2 linked regions of the Ovis aries genome follow. The protein of the gene in region 1 interacts with the protein of each later gene in a biochemical or structural test. Links are inferred from orthologs where the notes say so. Each region holds a gene or a part of one and is shown in the gene's direction. Other genes may lie near its edges.

Evidence for each region.
Region 2: the proteins of SGTA (region 1) and UBL4A form a complex in vitro, tested with the Homo sapiens proteins (3 studies listed by BioGRID, with this or other methods). The link is inferred for Ovis aries from reciprocal best matches to the Homo sapiens genes SGTA and UBL4A.

The regions. Positions count from the first base shown.
Region 1 is NC_056058.1:18,697,169-18,704,521, forward strand, and holds the start of SGTA (small glutamine-rich tetratricopeptide repeat-containing protein alpha), read left to right. Parts: upstream 1-2,705; 5' UTR 2,706-2,754; intron 2,755-7,353. Other genes in the region: THOP1 (thimet oligopeptidase), read right to left, coding at 708-723. UniProt on the Homo sapiens protein: Co-chaperone that binds misfolded and hydrophobic patches-containing client proteins in the cytosol. Mediates their targeting to the endoplasmic reticulum but also regulates their sorting to the proteasome when targeting fails.
Region 2 is NC_056080.1:79,951,969-79,959,394, forward strand, and holds UBL4A (ubiquitin-like protein 4A), read left to right. Parts: upstream 1-3,132; 5' UTR 3,133-3,175; coding exon 3,176-3,223; intron 3,224-3,376; coding exon 3,377-3,482; intron 3,483-3,783; coding exon 3,784-3,998; intron 3,999-4,106; coding exon 4,107-4,213; coding exon of another isoform or gene 4,214-4,217; exon of another isoform or gene 4,218-4,647; coding exon 4,648-4,771; 3' UTR 4,772-4,774; exon of another isoform or gene 4,775-5,663; coding exon of another isoform or gene 5,664-5,775; 3' UTR 5,776-5,829; downstream 5,830-7,426. Other genes in the region: SLC10A3 (P3 protein), read left to right, coding at 804-2,261. UniProt on the Homo sapiens protein: As part of a cytosolic protein quality control complex, the BAG6/BAT3 complex, maintains misfolded and hydrophobic patches-containing proteins in a soluble state and participates in their proper delivery to the endoplasmic reticulum or alternatively can promote their sorting to the proteasome where they undergo degradation.

The DNA.
Region 1 (7,353 bases):
CATCATCATTGCAATAGGCTGCAGAGAGAACTGGGGCAGGATAGGTCGGGCAAGGCAAAATTCGAGGTGGCCCTACTCAACATCCTGGGCGACTTCCTAAAACACGGTTGGTATGCAGGTGACATTGCTCCCCTAAAGGAAAACCCTTCTGTGGTGCCCCATTGTGCTTCACATAAAAGGGACCTGCAGCTGTGCCCTAGCCAAAATGACTTACTGCTCCCCAACCGTCTTACTGGTGTGCTTGCCTCCCTCGCGGTTCCCACCACCTGGGACAGCTGCTTCTCCCCACCAAGTCCAAGCTGAATGAAATGCCACCTCCTCCGAGAAGCCCTCCAGGACAGCCCTCCCTAAAGAAGCACCACCAGCCATGGCACCGATCACTGTCTAAAGCCCCCGCTTGTTTTTTGCCTTTCGAACGGCCGGCTATGGAACTAAGTCTAGAACTCTTTTGGAGTCCACCTCAGGGCAGACCCATCCTCAAGAGAAGTAATGGAGTTTGCCGAATGAGCGAAGCGCTGAAAAACCTGGATCATTCATTCGGCAACCGAGGGGGCGGGGTTCCAAGCTCGCCGACCCCCATCCCCAGCCTGGGCCCAGGTCACTCGAGGGTCACTGGCTCCGTTCTAAGGCCCAGGGGCGACCCCGGGGGAGGGGCACGGGGCTCCCGGGTCCGACGAGCGGGGCCACAACCAAGACACAGCCTGTACCTGCAGGAGGCTTCATAGCTGGCGGGTGCGCACTGGCGGCCCCTGCCTCCACCTCGTCCGTGTCCGCGCAGCGGCCAGCAGCCTCCGTCCACTCAGAGATCGCAAATGTCCAGACCGAGGCGCCCGCCGCCCGCGCGCTCGCTGAATGCTGGGAGACGCGTGCGCTGGAGGGCAGGGCGCTTGCGCACCCTAGCTCCGCCCAAAACCTGTGGCTGTGCGCCAGACGGCTGACTCACTCTGCGCCTGCGCCGGAACCACCCCCGTCTGTCATTTGCTCTCGGTGGTGAGAGGGTGGAGCTTTCGGGGAGGCGAGGAAGAGGCGTTTCCGTGGAAACTCGCACAGCTGGCGCCTCGCAGCTTTTTCTCTGCGCTCTTTCTGGCAGTAGTTGGCTTGGGCTTCCAGCTCCTGTATTAATTTATATTAGCCTCCTTTCTACATTAGTTGTGTATTTGTCTAGCTTTACAACTTTTCTCCGCTAAGTTAGGTAATCCGTGATCGCTTACCGTATCTCAGGCGCTTATCCCATTCCCAGTATCCTGCCCAGCTTCAAGTATCTAATGAATAAAGAAGGTGCGCCACATACATTAGCTGAAACCAGTTGGTCAATAAAATTAAACACATATTTACTTAAAAAACAAAAATGTGTGTTAGCAAGTAAGTGTTATTGAGAAAGCTTCAGAAAACGGATCCAAGACTTCAAACAACAGGTGTTTTGAAACAGTGCAGTTGCCTGTCCTAGGGATCACCGGTTAAAACAAAATCTTGAGGCGGTCCAGAGGTTAGGACTCCACTCTTTCACGTTGGTGATGGACAGGGAGGCCAGGCGTGCTGCGGTTCATGGGGTCGCAGAGTCGAACAGGACTGAGCGACTGAACTGAACTTTCACTGAAGGGGGCACAGGTTTGATTCCTTCTCCGTAGGGCCCCAAAGAGTCGGTCACGACTGAGCATGCACATACGCATAGGAAACGAAGACCAGTGCGCAAAAAAACCCCAAAATATCAACCTTGAACCACCTGAGTCACCCGGAAAGAAACGAGAATTAAACATGCCCCCAAACCCACCTCCTTTATTTATCCATTTCTGCAAAAGAAATGAAAATACCCTGGGGTGTTAAGTGTGCATGCGTTTTAAGTAGGATAAAAGTGAATTGGGAGAACATTTCTGGCAACTTTAACCCTAATGACGGTCATTTAGTAGGGAATTTCCCATTACCCACCCTCGATTTTTTTCTCTCTTGAGAACGTCAAGATTAATTCTACGTTAGTTTTCATTTTCGCTGTTTCCTATAGCTGGAGTGCTTTTCTCCAGTTCTTCAAATTTACCTGTGGGAGAGAGACCCTCCCTAATCATCCCAGCCAATTTACCCCCCAAACACAACACACCACGTTTTCTTCATAGTGCTTGCCATTGAGTAAAATCTGTTCATTTATATACTAGTTTACTAGTTTATAGTGTATCGCAATACAAGGTAATGAGAGCAAACATTTCCCTTTATAGTTGGCGTGCATATTCGTTGACTACTAGGCACCTGCGGTAAACAAAAATCTGTGAATTATTATACTTTACTCTGATGGACTGAATGAATAACATAATTCACTTGTTGGAGGATGGATGGGTAAAAAAAATAAACAAATAACAGTTGCTCGAATTCAAAGAGCGTCTATGATGCTCCGGGGCGCCAGATACCCAAACGCAGCTGCACCACGTGGCCGACTCGGCACCACGTGACGACTCAGCCAACCCACAAGAATCCTCCACCGTCCCATGATGCACCACTCCATTCCCTCTGTAGAGGACAAGTCAGTCCTGATTTCCGGCCTCCAATCGCTCGTAGTGGTTAGTTGCCCTAACGACCAACTTGTCCCAGCCTCTAAGGTACGTCACTTCCCCTTACGCCAGACCTGATAATTGCCGCGCCTGCGCAGAATGAAAGCCAGGAGGCGCTGGCTCCTTCTGCGCAGGCGTCTCAGTTGGGGGGCGGGACCGGGCGGCGCTGTGGTGCGCAGGCGCAGCCGTCGGTGGGTCCCGGGTTCGGCTGTGTGAGGTGAGTCGGGGGGTTCGGCGCTGGTCCGAATGGGCCTAAGGTCCGCAATTCGGGGCGTCTGGGGCCTCTGGGGCTCCTGTGCCGTAGGAAGACGTCGGTCCGGGGCCGGGGTCGCCATAATTTGCGGAGTGCTGTGAGTGGGCGGCGCGGAGGGGAAACTGAGGCCAGACCCCGTCGGGCAAGCCCTTGGCTGCCCAGGTTTTCTTCCTCCGGACTCCAGGCCTATGAAATGCGGATTAGGAGGCCCGGGGGTGAATAGCGGGAGGCATAGCGCCCCGCACGCAGTGAGCACTCGCTGGGTGTCCGCTGTGTCCCGGAAACACGGTCTTTTAGAATCGGGGCTCCGGTCCTTGGGGTTCAAGTCGGGGCTCCCTGTCCCGGCGCCTTCACTGTCCACCTGGGTGACCTTGACCAGCCTCTTGGCTTCTCGGAGCCTTTTTCCCCCTCCATATAACGGGCGTTGTCACAGACCCTGCATGGAGTAGGGGGACTTCCGGAGAGGACTAAAGCCGCAGGGCCCCCAGCGCGAAGTGACAGCTCCAAGAGATCAGCAGCGGTTAGTCCGCTTTCACGAGGACGACCTCTGCCTGTTGTGCCAGAGACTGGGGCGAAATCTAGCGCTGAGGACCGGCTCGTCCACCTCTCGCTGGCTCTGTGAGCTTGGGCAAGTCGTTTGCCCCCTCCACGACCCTTTTCTGCCACGAATAGGGGCTGTAGAAGTATATGTCTCTTAAGGTCATTATGAGGTTAAGTACACTTGGAACCTTCTTTCATTAGGTTCTTGCTACTTGTCTAGAGCTTCCTAGAGGACAGATGGTTTTGTTATCAGATGCCAGGAACTGCTTGAGCACTCTGCATCTCCACCCAGGAAAGTTTCCCGTTTTCTTTTGTTTCTCTCTCTGGTTATTTGTTTTGTCTGCTTTTCCTCTCCCTAGGCCAGGCATTCTGTCCTCTCAGGGAACACGGGCCATGTCTGGGGACGTCTATGGCTGTCACAGCCAGGGGCGCTCCTGGTATCAAGGGGCTGGTGACCAGGGATGCTGCTGCACATCCCACAGTGCCCAGGATGGCCCCACGGAGAACAGTCTGGCCCTCAATGTCCACAGTGCTAAAGTACGTCCTACCTCAGACTAGTGGTTTTTCACTAGTGGCCCTCAACCTAGGGCCAAGTAACATCAGCTTCTGGTCTCCAGAAGGGGTGAAGGGTGTGAACCCCCAAGAAATCACATGCAAGGTTTGGTGTGGGTGTCCACTTTTGTGGGTGAGGAAGGGTATTTTGGAGTTTGGAGCTCTAGAAATCAGGTTGCACAGGTTCAAAACTGCTGATATGCATCTTCCCTGGATGACCTTGGAGGTTGCTCCCGTCCCTCTGGGCCTCAGTTTTTTACGCTGTACAGTGGGAGTTCGATTAAACAAATGGTGACCAGGGGGCCAAATTCCACTGCAGCCTCTTTTGTGGGGGAGGGATCTAGTTCCTTGACCAGGATGGAACCAGGACCCCCTGCATTGGGAACATGGAGGCTTAGCCACTGGACCACAGGGAAGTCCCTGCAGCCTTGTTTTTGTGGATGAGGTTTTGTGGGATAGAACCCACTGGATCCACACACATGTTACCTGGACCCTGGGAAGCTGAACGTCCTCACCCTGGCCCTTCTTTTCAGAAGATGTTTGCTGACCCCTAAAATAAGTGAGTGTGGGTACAGTATACAGCTCAGGCCTGTAAGTGCTGGGCACTCCAAGGATTTCATTCAGGGCTTTATAATTAAGTCTTCCTGGAAGGGTGAGTGGCCCTAAATTGGGTTAAGTGCTGCCCTGTATTGAGAGCTATAGTCTTTTTTATAAGTTTTTGTTGTTGTTGTTAGTTTATTTTTGGCTGCACTGAGTCTTTGTTGCTATGCATGCGCTTTCTCTAGTTGCAGATAGCGGGGGTTCTCTCTAGTTGTGGTGTGTGGGCTTCTCATTGTGGTGGCTTCCCTTGTTGCAGAGCAAGGGCTGTAGGGCACCTGGGCTTCAGTAGTTGCAGTTCATGGGTGCAGTTGTTATGGTGCTTGGGCTTAGCTGCCCAGCCACATGTGGGATCTTCCCGGACCAGGGATCGAACCCTTGTCCCCTGCGTTGGCAGGTAGATTCTTAACCGCTGGACATCCAGGGAATTCTTGAGGTTGGGGTGTTTTCAGTGAGAAAATGGAAAGGTGGATGGAGAGCCAGCAGGGCTTCTGAAGGCACCGGGAGGAATTGGAGCTGGGTCCCTGGCCTCAGCCACACCCCAGGGCCATTGTCCATTCCCAGCCAGTCTCCTGCCTGTACCCCATGCCTGCAGCCAGTGCCCTTGGAGCCTTCTGGGCTTCACAAAGCCCTTGCTGTTCTTGGGAGAGAGAACGGTCCTGCTGAGGATTCTGTTCCCCAGCCAAAGCCTGACAAGTCAGAATTGTTCCCAAGCCCCTGGTGCCCAGTAGCAGCTGAGGAAGAGCATGTGCCAGCGTTTCTGGACTCACTTTGCTGGGAGCAGGAAGGTGATGCGGACCATCCGGAGGGAGGAGAATGGCCACTCTCATGGACCGCCAGTGTCCAGCAGGTGCCAGTCCCACTGCACACTCGCAGTCTCCTGTCTGTAGTCCTGAAACCCAGCGTGCATGCGTGCTGAGTTGCTTCAGTCGTGTCTGATTGTTTGCAGCCCTATGGACTGTAGCTCTCCAGGCTTCTCTGTCCATGGGATTCTCTAGGCAAGAATACTGGCATGGGTTGCTGTGCCCTCCTCCAGGGGATCTTCCTGACCCAGGGATCGAACCTGCATCTCTTCTGTCTCCTGCATTGGCAGGTGTGTTCTTTACCATTTGAGCCACCTGGGAAGCCCCATGTAACCCAGAATACTCAGCGAATGCAGGATTCACTGAAAGTTCACAGCCAAGTCATTTGGCCAGAAAATCTGCCCTTTATTTTTTCCACTTGGTGTGTATCAGTGACTTTCAACTGGGGGTTTGGTGACGTCTAGAGACTTTTGTGATTGACAACACCCTGGGCAGGGTGGGGGGATTTTCCCGGGATCGAGGGTGTGAGGGAGAGCGATGCTGCCCCATCCCTCACAGCTCCCAGGATGCCCCCTGCACAGTGACCTGACCCCGTGTCAGCTATGCCAAGGGGGAGGGCTCCTGCATTCACATTTGAGAAAAATATTGGGTTTGATGCCTGCTCACACTGGACACCACAATAAATTCCCGATGGTCACACAGTGTGAACAGGAGGGCCCCGTGTTACCTCCCCACAGTGGGTCACCTCCCCACCCTTCCACTCAGGTATGTATTTAAATATGATCAGCGTCCCAGGACCTCAGAGGTCACATGGTGATGGAACCCAGTCTTGTCCCATCCCACCCCACCCCACCCCCTCTCCCAGAAGATGGATGCAGAGGGTGCTATTAAACACCCTTTAATGCACATTCTCCCCAGCCCCCCATGTCTGTAGAGCCTGGGGGAGACACCTGCATGAGGTGCTGGAATCTCCCAGCAGCCTCCGTTACCCTGTTTTATAGGAGAGAGTGAGGACATCCACTGGCCCCCCTTCAGATGGGACACCAAGCATCCCAGCCCTGGGGCAGGGGGTGACGTGGAGCTGGCCTCAGACAGAGACTGCTGGGCCTGAGGGATTAAGACTGCAGAGCCTAGCATCATCCCTGGGTGGGCTCCAGGGCCCTGGTCTTGGCGCTCAGTGCATCAGATTGGGGGCCAAACCTTGGGAGAAGGTCCTGTCATAGACCAGAAGAAGCCCTAGAAGTGGGAAACCAGGCAGCAGTGGCCTCAAGGGAGGCATCTGTCAGGGGAGAGGGCTATTAGCAGCACACGCGAAGGTCCTGGGGTATGGCGGGGGGCGGGGCTGGAAGAACTGAGAGTGTGCAGGGAACACATGTGACTTCATCTCTCAACTCCCTGGACCCCCAGCAGCCCCTCAGAGTCACTCCCTCCATCCTTGCAGCTTGGTCACATAGACATCAGGTTGCCTCTTTGTTTTCTTAAGTGAATGCCTGTTGTCACAGAGGCCACATTTATTCCCTGGGCGGGAAAGCAGACCCCCCCCCCCCACCACCACCGTCCAATACCCTCCCAGCCCAGCATGAACCTCAGTGACCTAGTGCTGCCTCCCATGGGTCTGACGGGGCGGGGGGGGGGGGCATGCCCCAAATTGCTACCTGGAACACATGGGGGAGCCCCAGCTACCCAGTCCTGTGGCCTTACCATGTCAGCTATTGACATGTGACTGCCCTCTGGGAGACCCTGACACCCTTCCATCCAGTTCAATGAGAAGTCAGCAGGGGGGTGGGGGGTGAGCTGGTAAGCATGAAGGCCAGGTGGTAAATTCTCTGGGGTTCAGGGGCAGTGAGGAAAACCAAGCATGTTACGGAGGCACTTCTGTAGCATATGAATGCAGAAGACTTTTTCAGCTAAATGGGTGGCTGCCAGGTGTGGCCCTTGACCCTTGGTTTAGAGCAGAATATGTGAAAGGACTATGGTCCTGGGGTCTCAGAGGTGTCTGCATCCTAAGAGGACCACTTTGAGCTTTGAAAAGAAGTTTTTTTCTAATTACAGTGAAAGTGAAGTCACTCAG
Region 2 (7,426 bases), on another chromosome or scaffold:
TGACAGAAAGGGGAGAAACCTCTCAGTGGACACGTGGCCATGTCTGATCCCTTTCTGCTGCCCCTTCTGGCAACTTCCCTGGGGAGAGAGGGGACCTGCTTCCTCCCAGAACCTCCATCTTGCCCCTGTCAGCAGGTAGGTAGGCCAGATGGCCACACACAGCAGCACCGTTCACATGGCAGTGGTGAACATCAGCACATGGGGCCTTTGGCCCGGGGGTCACCCGCTGCCCACACCACTTTGCCAGCTGCTCTCTGCTGGTCAGATGACACTCAGATGCCGTGAGCTGGCCTGCTCTCATCAGGCCTGCTTCCTGGGCATCCCTGGGCTGTCCTTCAGAGATTTCCTCCTGGTTGTGGTACTGCCGCAACTGTGCCTCAAAGCAAGTGGGGCACAGGCTAGTGGTGACAAGATTGGGGCTGATCCCCTGGTGTCAGGCCATCTCTGAACTGTCAAAATCAGCCTGAATCAGCAGGCCGAAGGCAAAGTTCTACCTGTCCCTTCCCCTTCTGGGGAAGCTTGAGGTAGTTGTGACTGGGGAAGGGACACCCGAATGGCACTCAAGGGCCATCCCCAGGCTTGCAGCAAGGAACCCGGCTGAGTCTCCCAGCAGTGGGCTTCTCGGTCATGCTCCTGGGCTCACAGCTGCTCGCCCTCACCAGCCACCGCCATGTCCCTTCTCTTCTCAGGAAGAGCTCTACCATCAAGAAAGGGAGCCCAGCACCAGACCTCGCCCATGGACCCTTCTGAGGACCACCCAACGGCACCAGCAAGGCTGGTCTCCTAAGCCACAGAGGGCCTGCATGCCCCACCGTTGGGAAGGAGCCATGGTGTTTAGGAGTGGTGAAGGCTGCTCCCTGCAGTGGCCTGGCCCAGAAGGGGGCACTGGTTGCACGGGCCCCCAAAGCATGCTCAGGGCCACCCTGCTGCTTGTCAGCCTGCTGTGGGGGGCCCGGGGAACAGCCAGTGCCAGTCTCAGCCCGGCTCTGGGCCATCCCATGCCCCTGACCAGGGGCCGCTACCTGAGCATTGGAGATGGCTCTGTGATGGAGTTTGAGTTCCCAGAAGAGAGCGAGGGCATCATTGTGATCACAAGCCATTACCCAGGCCAGGGCAACGGGACAGGACCCAGCCCCATGCTGAGGGTCACCTCCCTGGACCCAGAGGTGCTGACCATTAAGAATGTGAGTGCTATAGCCTGGGGCGGCGGTGGCAGCTTCGTGGTAAGCATCCGCTCGGGCCTGCCTGGGATAGCCCCACTCCACATCCAGCTCACGGACCCCCGCGAGGCCCCGCCCAGGCTGATCGAAGAGCGGAGAGATTTCTGCATCAAGGTCTCACCCGCTGAAGACACCCCCATCACCCTCGGCACTAACCTGGTCCACTTCTCAGAGAACCCAATCCTCTACTTGCTCCTGCCTCTTATCTTTGTCAATAAGTGTTCATTTGGGTGCAAAGTGGAGCTCGAGGTACTGAAGGGGCTCTTGCAGAACCCCCAGCCCATGCTGCTGGGCCTTCTGGGCCAGTTCCTAGTCATGCCCTTCTATGCTTTTCTGATGGCTAAGGTCTTCATGCTGCCCAAGGCCCTGGCTCTGGGCCTCATCATCACTTGCTCGTCGCCCGGCGGCGGGGGGAGCTACCTCTTCAGCCTCCTCCTCGGAGGGGACGTCACTCTGGCCATCTCTATGACTTTCATCTCAACGGTGGCTGCCACCGGCTTCCTGCCGCTGTCCTCAGCCATCTACAGTCGCCTGCTCAGCATCCATGAAACACTCCATGTGCCTGTTTCCAAGATCCTGGGGACCCTGCTGTTCATTGCCATCCCCATTGCAGCAGGCGTGGTAATCAAGTCCAAGCTCCCCAAGTTCTCGCAGCTGCTGCTGCATGTCATCAAGCCCTTCAGCTTTGTGCTGCTCCTGGGTGGCCTCTTCCTGGCCTACCGCATGGGGGTCTTCATCCTGGCAGGCGTCAGGCTGCCCATCGTGTTGGTGGGCTTCACAGTGCCCCTGGTCGGCCTCCTGGTGGGCTACGGCCTGGCCACATGCCTGAATCTGCCAGTGGCCCAGCGGCGGACTGTCAGCATCGAGGTTGGGGTGCAGAACAGCCTTCTGGCCTTGGCCATGCTGCAGCTGTCCCTCCGCCGCCTCCAGGCTGACTATGCCTCCCAGGCCCCTTTCCTTGTGGCACTTAGTGGCACCTCGGAGATGCTGGCCTTAGTAATTGGCCACTTTATCTATAGCAGCGTGTGCACCGTTCCCTGAGGCCCCCGGGTCAAGCTTTCACCAGGCACCCCCAGCCCCCAACCTCCATCAACTGTCCCCACCATTCTTGTGTACCAAAGGCCTTTAGTTCTCATGCACTATGCACTCAGAAAAAAAAAAAAATCCAGGCTTATTTTTTTTACTCGTTTTTTATTCTCCAGCTTTCAGTGCCAAAGAGGCCATGCTGAGTTCTGTAAGCGGGCACTGCCCAGAAAATATATTTCAATAAAACAGAAGCAAGCTTGGGTATCATGCTGTCTTTGCCCTCTGAGGCCTGCGGGTCGGGGAAGGAAGGGCGTGGTGTGGCCAGGTAGGTGTGGGCCAGGATGGAGGGCTGGCTTGGCGACACAGTGACCTCTGGCCAGATTTAGCCTTCCTCGCCCCTGCATCACCTCTGAGAGCTGTGTATCTGTTCTAGAAGAAGCAGTGGGAAGGGCAGAGGCCTGACTCCCCCACCAGATCCCAAGCTCAGTTGCTTTTCCACAGGTGAAGTAAAAAAGAGGCCGGCGGGTGGTGAAACGAGCTCGGCGGGGCCGGGTCTTCTGCAGGCTCCTGAGAGGCAGGGGATGGGATGGGCATCAGCGTTGACCTGCTCTGCCCACGGGCGGTGGCGCGCGAACTCCCGGCCCGCCGTCTCCCCGGGCCCAGCTCCCCAACTCCTTCGAGCGAGCCCGACTGGTCCCGCCACCCTTTTCCACTCTCCGCGGGCTTCTGGGCTCCGTCGCCCCGGGCTCCGCGGAGGACAGTCCAGGTTGTGGGGGGAGGGGCCGGCGGGGCGGGGCCGCGATGCCCGGCTCGCCCCTCGCGATGCTTCCGGCGGCGGCGGGCGGTTCCGGCGCGCGCCCGGGGCGGCGGCGCGCGGCGGCGGACCGTTGGGGTGCGCGCCGGCCCGAGTGGACGCCTCGGCGGCCGCCATGCAGCTGACGGTGAAGGCACTCCAGGGCCGCGAGTGCAGCCTTCAGGTAGCATCGCCGGGCTGGGTTGCGCGGTCAGCCCCGCGGGTGCGGGATCGAGCCGCGGGAAGGGACGGACCCGGCGGGCTAGCCGCCTCGGGAGAGCCACCCTCCGCGCGGGCCGCGGCTTCACCCCCCGCCCACCTTTCTCGGCCGGGACAGGTGTCGGAGGACGAGCTGGTGTCCACGCTGAAACATCTGGTCTCCGAAAAGCTGAACATCCCCGTCCGCCAACAGCGGCTGCTGTTCAAGGGCAAGGCCCTGGCAGGTAACCAGGAAGAGGGGACGCTGGGGGAGACCCGCGGGAAGCCAGGGGACGGGGCGTCCAGCCCAGGCCCGGGCAGCAGTGTAGGTGGAGGGGGCTCTGGCTAGGTGACCCCCACCCCCATCCCGGGAGTTCACCGCTGCGCTTCGCCTAGGCTCTCCGAGGGTCAGTGCGACCCTCTCTCCCTCTCTCCCTCTCTCCCTCTCTCCCTCTCTCCCTCTCTCCCTCTCTCCCTCTCTCCCTCTCTCCCTCTCTCCCTCTCTCCCTCTCTCCCTCTCTCCCTCTCCCTCTCTCTTTCGGACAGATGGGAAAAGACTCTCCGATTACAGCATCGGGCCGAATTCCAAGCTCAACCTAGTGGTCAAACCTCTGGAGAAGGTGTTGCTGGAAGAAAGCACTGCGCGGAAAACGGCCGAGGCCCCAGCCCCACCGCCCGCCGCCTGGCCGCTCATTTCCAGAATCCTGGCCCAGCACTTCAGCGCCGCCGATGCCAGCAGAGTCCTGGATCAACTCCAGAGGGTGAGAAGCGTGGCCCAGGACCTCTGCATCCTGCCCACCTGCCTCTGTCCCAGCGGGCCCCCCCGCCCCAAGCCACACCCCTGAATCCTTCTGGCTTTCTCTCTTCAGGATTATGAGCGGTCCCTGAGCCGCCTGACGCTGGATGACATTGAACGTTTGGCTGGCCGCTTCCTGCACCCCGAAGCGACTGAAGCTATGGAGAAGGGGTTCTCCAAGTAGGATTCTCGGAGTGTGGGGAGGAGCCTGGCCAGGCCACAAGCTGCATGTAGCATTAAATGTCTTCTTGTATTGCAACTTGGCTCATAATACTGCCTGGCGGGTACTCGGGTACCTGTATCTGGCTCATGTTAGGTGCCAGGCCCCACTCAAAGCTCTTGACCCAGGTTGGCTCCCACATGTTGCACAAAAGGTGAGACAGCCGAGGCTCCTAGCGGAGAAGGCAAGGAGCCAGATTCTGAGTCCAGCCAGCTTCCAGAAGTACTTCAGGGTGAGAAGGAGAAAAGGGTCGTTCAGACGGGTTCTGAGGGGTGGCCATGGACATTCCAGGTTTAGCCCACTGAGGAGAAACCCTCGAGCAATACCTTTTCCAGGCCTGGAAGGGGAAGCAGCTAGCCCCTGATGCCCAGTTCTGTCACCTCATCCTTGACAGGTCCGGCATTGGCAAGAGGTCAGGTGATGGCCAGCCTTGGGCCCCCTTAGTGACTGCAACCAGTATGCACTCAAACGGAAGGCGGGCTGGGGAGTCTAGGATGTCACCCGACTCTGGGGAGTGACACGTAGGTGCCACGTTGGTCCCCAGCCTTCAACTCTGCTCAGTGAGGGCTGTTCTTGAGACTCTCTTAGTTTTCTTTAGCTCCAAAGCCTGGGGTCAGGAGTCTGTAGGCATCCTACTCCTGTGTCCCAGATACAAACTGAGGCCAAATTCTGAGTGATGGCCAAGCGTGGCCCAGAGACGGAATGTCCTGGCCCTTAGTGTCACAGATTTTCTCTGGGCACCCCCTTCTTTTCTCCTCCCAGACACAAGCGGTCCATGACCTTTAGAGATGACAGGTGATGGTCTCGAGGTGACTCGAGCAGGCCCCTGTACCCTTTGCCCATCCTCTGCCACATGTGGACAGGGCCTCCCACTGTGCACACCACTCACTGTCTGAGAGGGAACCTGGGTGGGGGCAGAAGCTGGGGGGTGGGTCGTAGAGATCGTCTAGGCACCTGCTCCTCAGAGGAGGGCACCTGGGCCACTCTCCGGCCTGAGCCTCATAGGGTAAGTGCTGGGTCCCCAGGTGGGGAGGACAGACAGTGGCTCGAGGGCCAAAGGCTTTGAAGAGCAGGTGGAAGTCCATGGCTCCACCCAGGAGCTGGGCATGCACTGCCACAAGGTTCATGTGATAGACTTCCCTACGCTCTCATTTCTTTGTAGTCAGGAAATTTTATATTGACCTTCTCAGTCACACTAGAGGTGCATGTGAGACTTTGACCTGAAAGGAACTCTATTAGTTGAACTGCTTTTGGTTTCCCCATCGTTGATTTAACCATTACAGGACATAGGTTTAAGCAATAAAGAGAAGGTATTGGTTTGCGAAACTGAGAAGTCCAGGGGTATTGGCAGCAGATAAATGATTTCCCCAAATACCCAGTTTCTTCCTACCTCCCCTCTGCACTCTGCAGTGTCTGCTTCATCCCAGGCCTCTACCTCAGGATCAGAAGATGGCTGCCTGCAGCTTCCACCGAACCCCTCGGTCACAGCCAGCACGGAGCACCTTCCCGTCCTCTAGCGTAGCTTCCTCCTCAGCTGCCCCAACAAATAAACGCTGTCCCTTTTGGATGCTTAGAACCGGGTGCCTCCATCATTTTATCAGGGGCTTGGGTGGGCTGTGGAAGGGAGAGGGCAACTCTCAGGAAGGCCGGGTCCTCGGGGAGAGCTGACGCGTGCAGACGGGTCTTGTTGACAGACACAAGAGACAGCTGGTGAGTCTTGTGTGCCTCCCGACTGGGAGGTGATGACCCTGTGGTAGCTAGGAGCCATCTGCTGGGTGCAGAAAGTCATCGGGGAGCTCAGGCTGCCCATGGAGACAGGAGTGGTGTCTCCCAGGTGTATAGTAGGTGCCTTGCTGACAGGCCCGACAGGCTGATTCCGCGGCCCTGTGCAGTTTTCCACGACATTCCGGAGGGCCTGTGGACACAATGTCCCAGACACTGCGAGGATGCATGAAATTACTTCCCAGAGAGCATGACCGAAGAAAGGGGAGAGCACTGGACCTGGGGGAGACTTCACCAACTGGAGACACTGCAGAGGCCAAGGCACCTCTGCAGACGCAAGGCCACAGGGAGAGCTTGGAGTCAGAGGCCAGGAAGGCCCCTCCAGCCAGGGTACAGAGTGTATAGTGCTGCCAAGAAGCAAAAGAGGGCAGCCTCCTGTCAAGCTAACAAGAAGGTCATTGGTGATATTAGGGCAAGAAGTTGCTGCATGGTGGAGAGGGGGAAAGTCTTGCCAGTGACTGGAGACCCCTGGTTCCAGAAGCTTGTCTGGGCAGGAGTGTGTAGCTATGGGGGGTGGGGGTGGGGAGACAGGGAAGAGGTGCTGGGATGAGAGATGGGAGGCCTAGGTGGGAAGGGGCCACGGAGGCTCTGGTCTAGGCCTTGTGCCATCGCTAGAGGATAGAATGGCCACGGGCTGTGCCCTGCCTTTGTCCTTAGTTTCTGGGTGAGGGGGTGGCCCCATGTACACTGCGGGCTCCAAATGCTGCAGTATCCTTCCATAGGGGCTGGAATGTTTAAGGCCATCACTGTGCCCCTTGAGCCAAGTGTCTGCCCCAGAGGTGGGCACTGACCCCCCCATTACCACTCCCATCCCCTGGCCTGAGACCACTCTCTCCTCGTGGAGGAGCCTTGAAACAGCCCCACTAGGAGATGGCAGGGCGAGTGAAACGCCCAGCTGAAGTGGCCCCAGACAGCAACAGTCCGGCACCTGGAATAAGATGCCTGTGGTGCCACTTGCCATGGGCACACTGGCGGAGGGGTAGGCTCAGAGGAAAGCAGCGTTTCCTTTGGGGTGGGGCTTGCTGAGCTGGAAAACGCCCAGGCAAAGATCAGCTGCATGCACAATTTGCTGGTGCCTTGCTTTCCACGCAAGCCTGGACAAAAGCCAGCCTTACCAGGTCCAATAGATCTGACAAGTGCTGCTGAGGACGGGTCAGGCCCTGCCAGCGGGAGATGCAAGGGCCATGGCGGCCTCTGTGCCCTGGGCCTTGGAAAGCCTGCGGGAGAGATGCTCACCCCTGTCACCCTGTCCCCCTCCAAGGCCCAGCCAGAGCAGCCTCCCGGAGCTACTGGGGACCTGCCCCAGGCCACCTCTTCTGCCTGCCCTCTCCACCTCTTCTGCCTGCCCTCTCCAACTTTTCCTTCCACTTCCCCTAGCTCTGGGCTTCCCT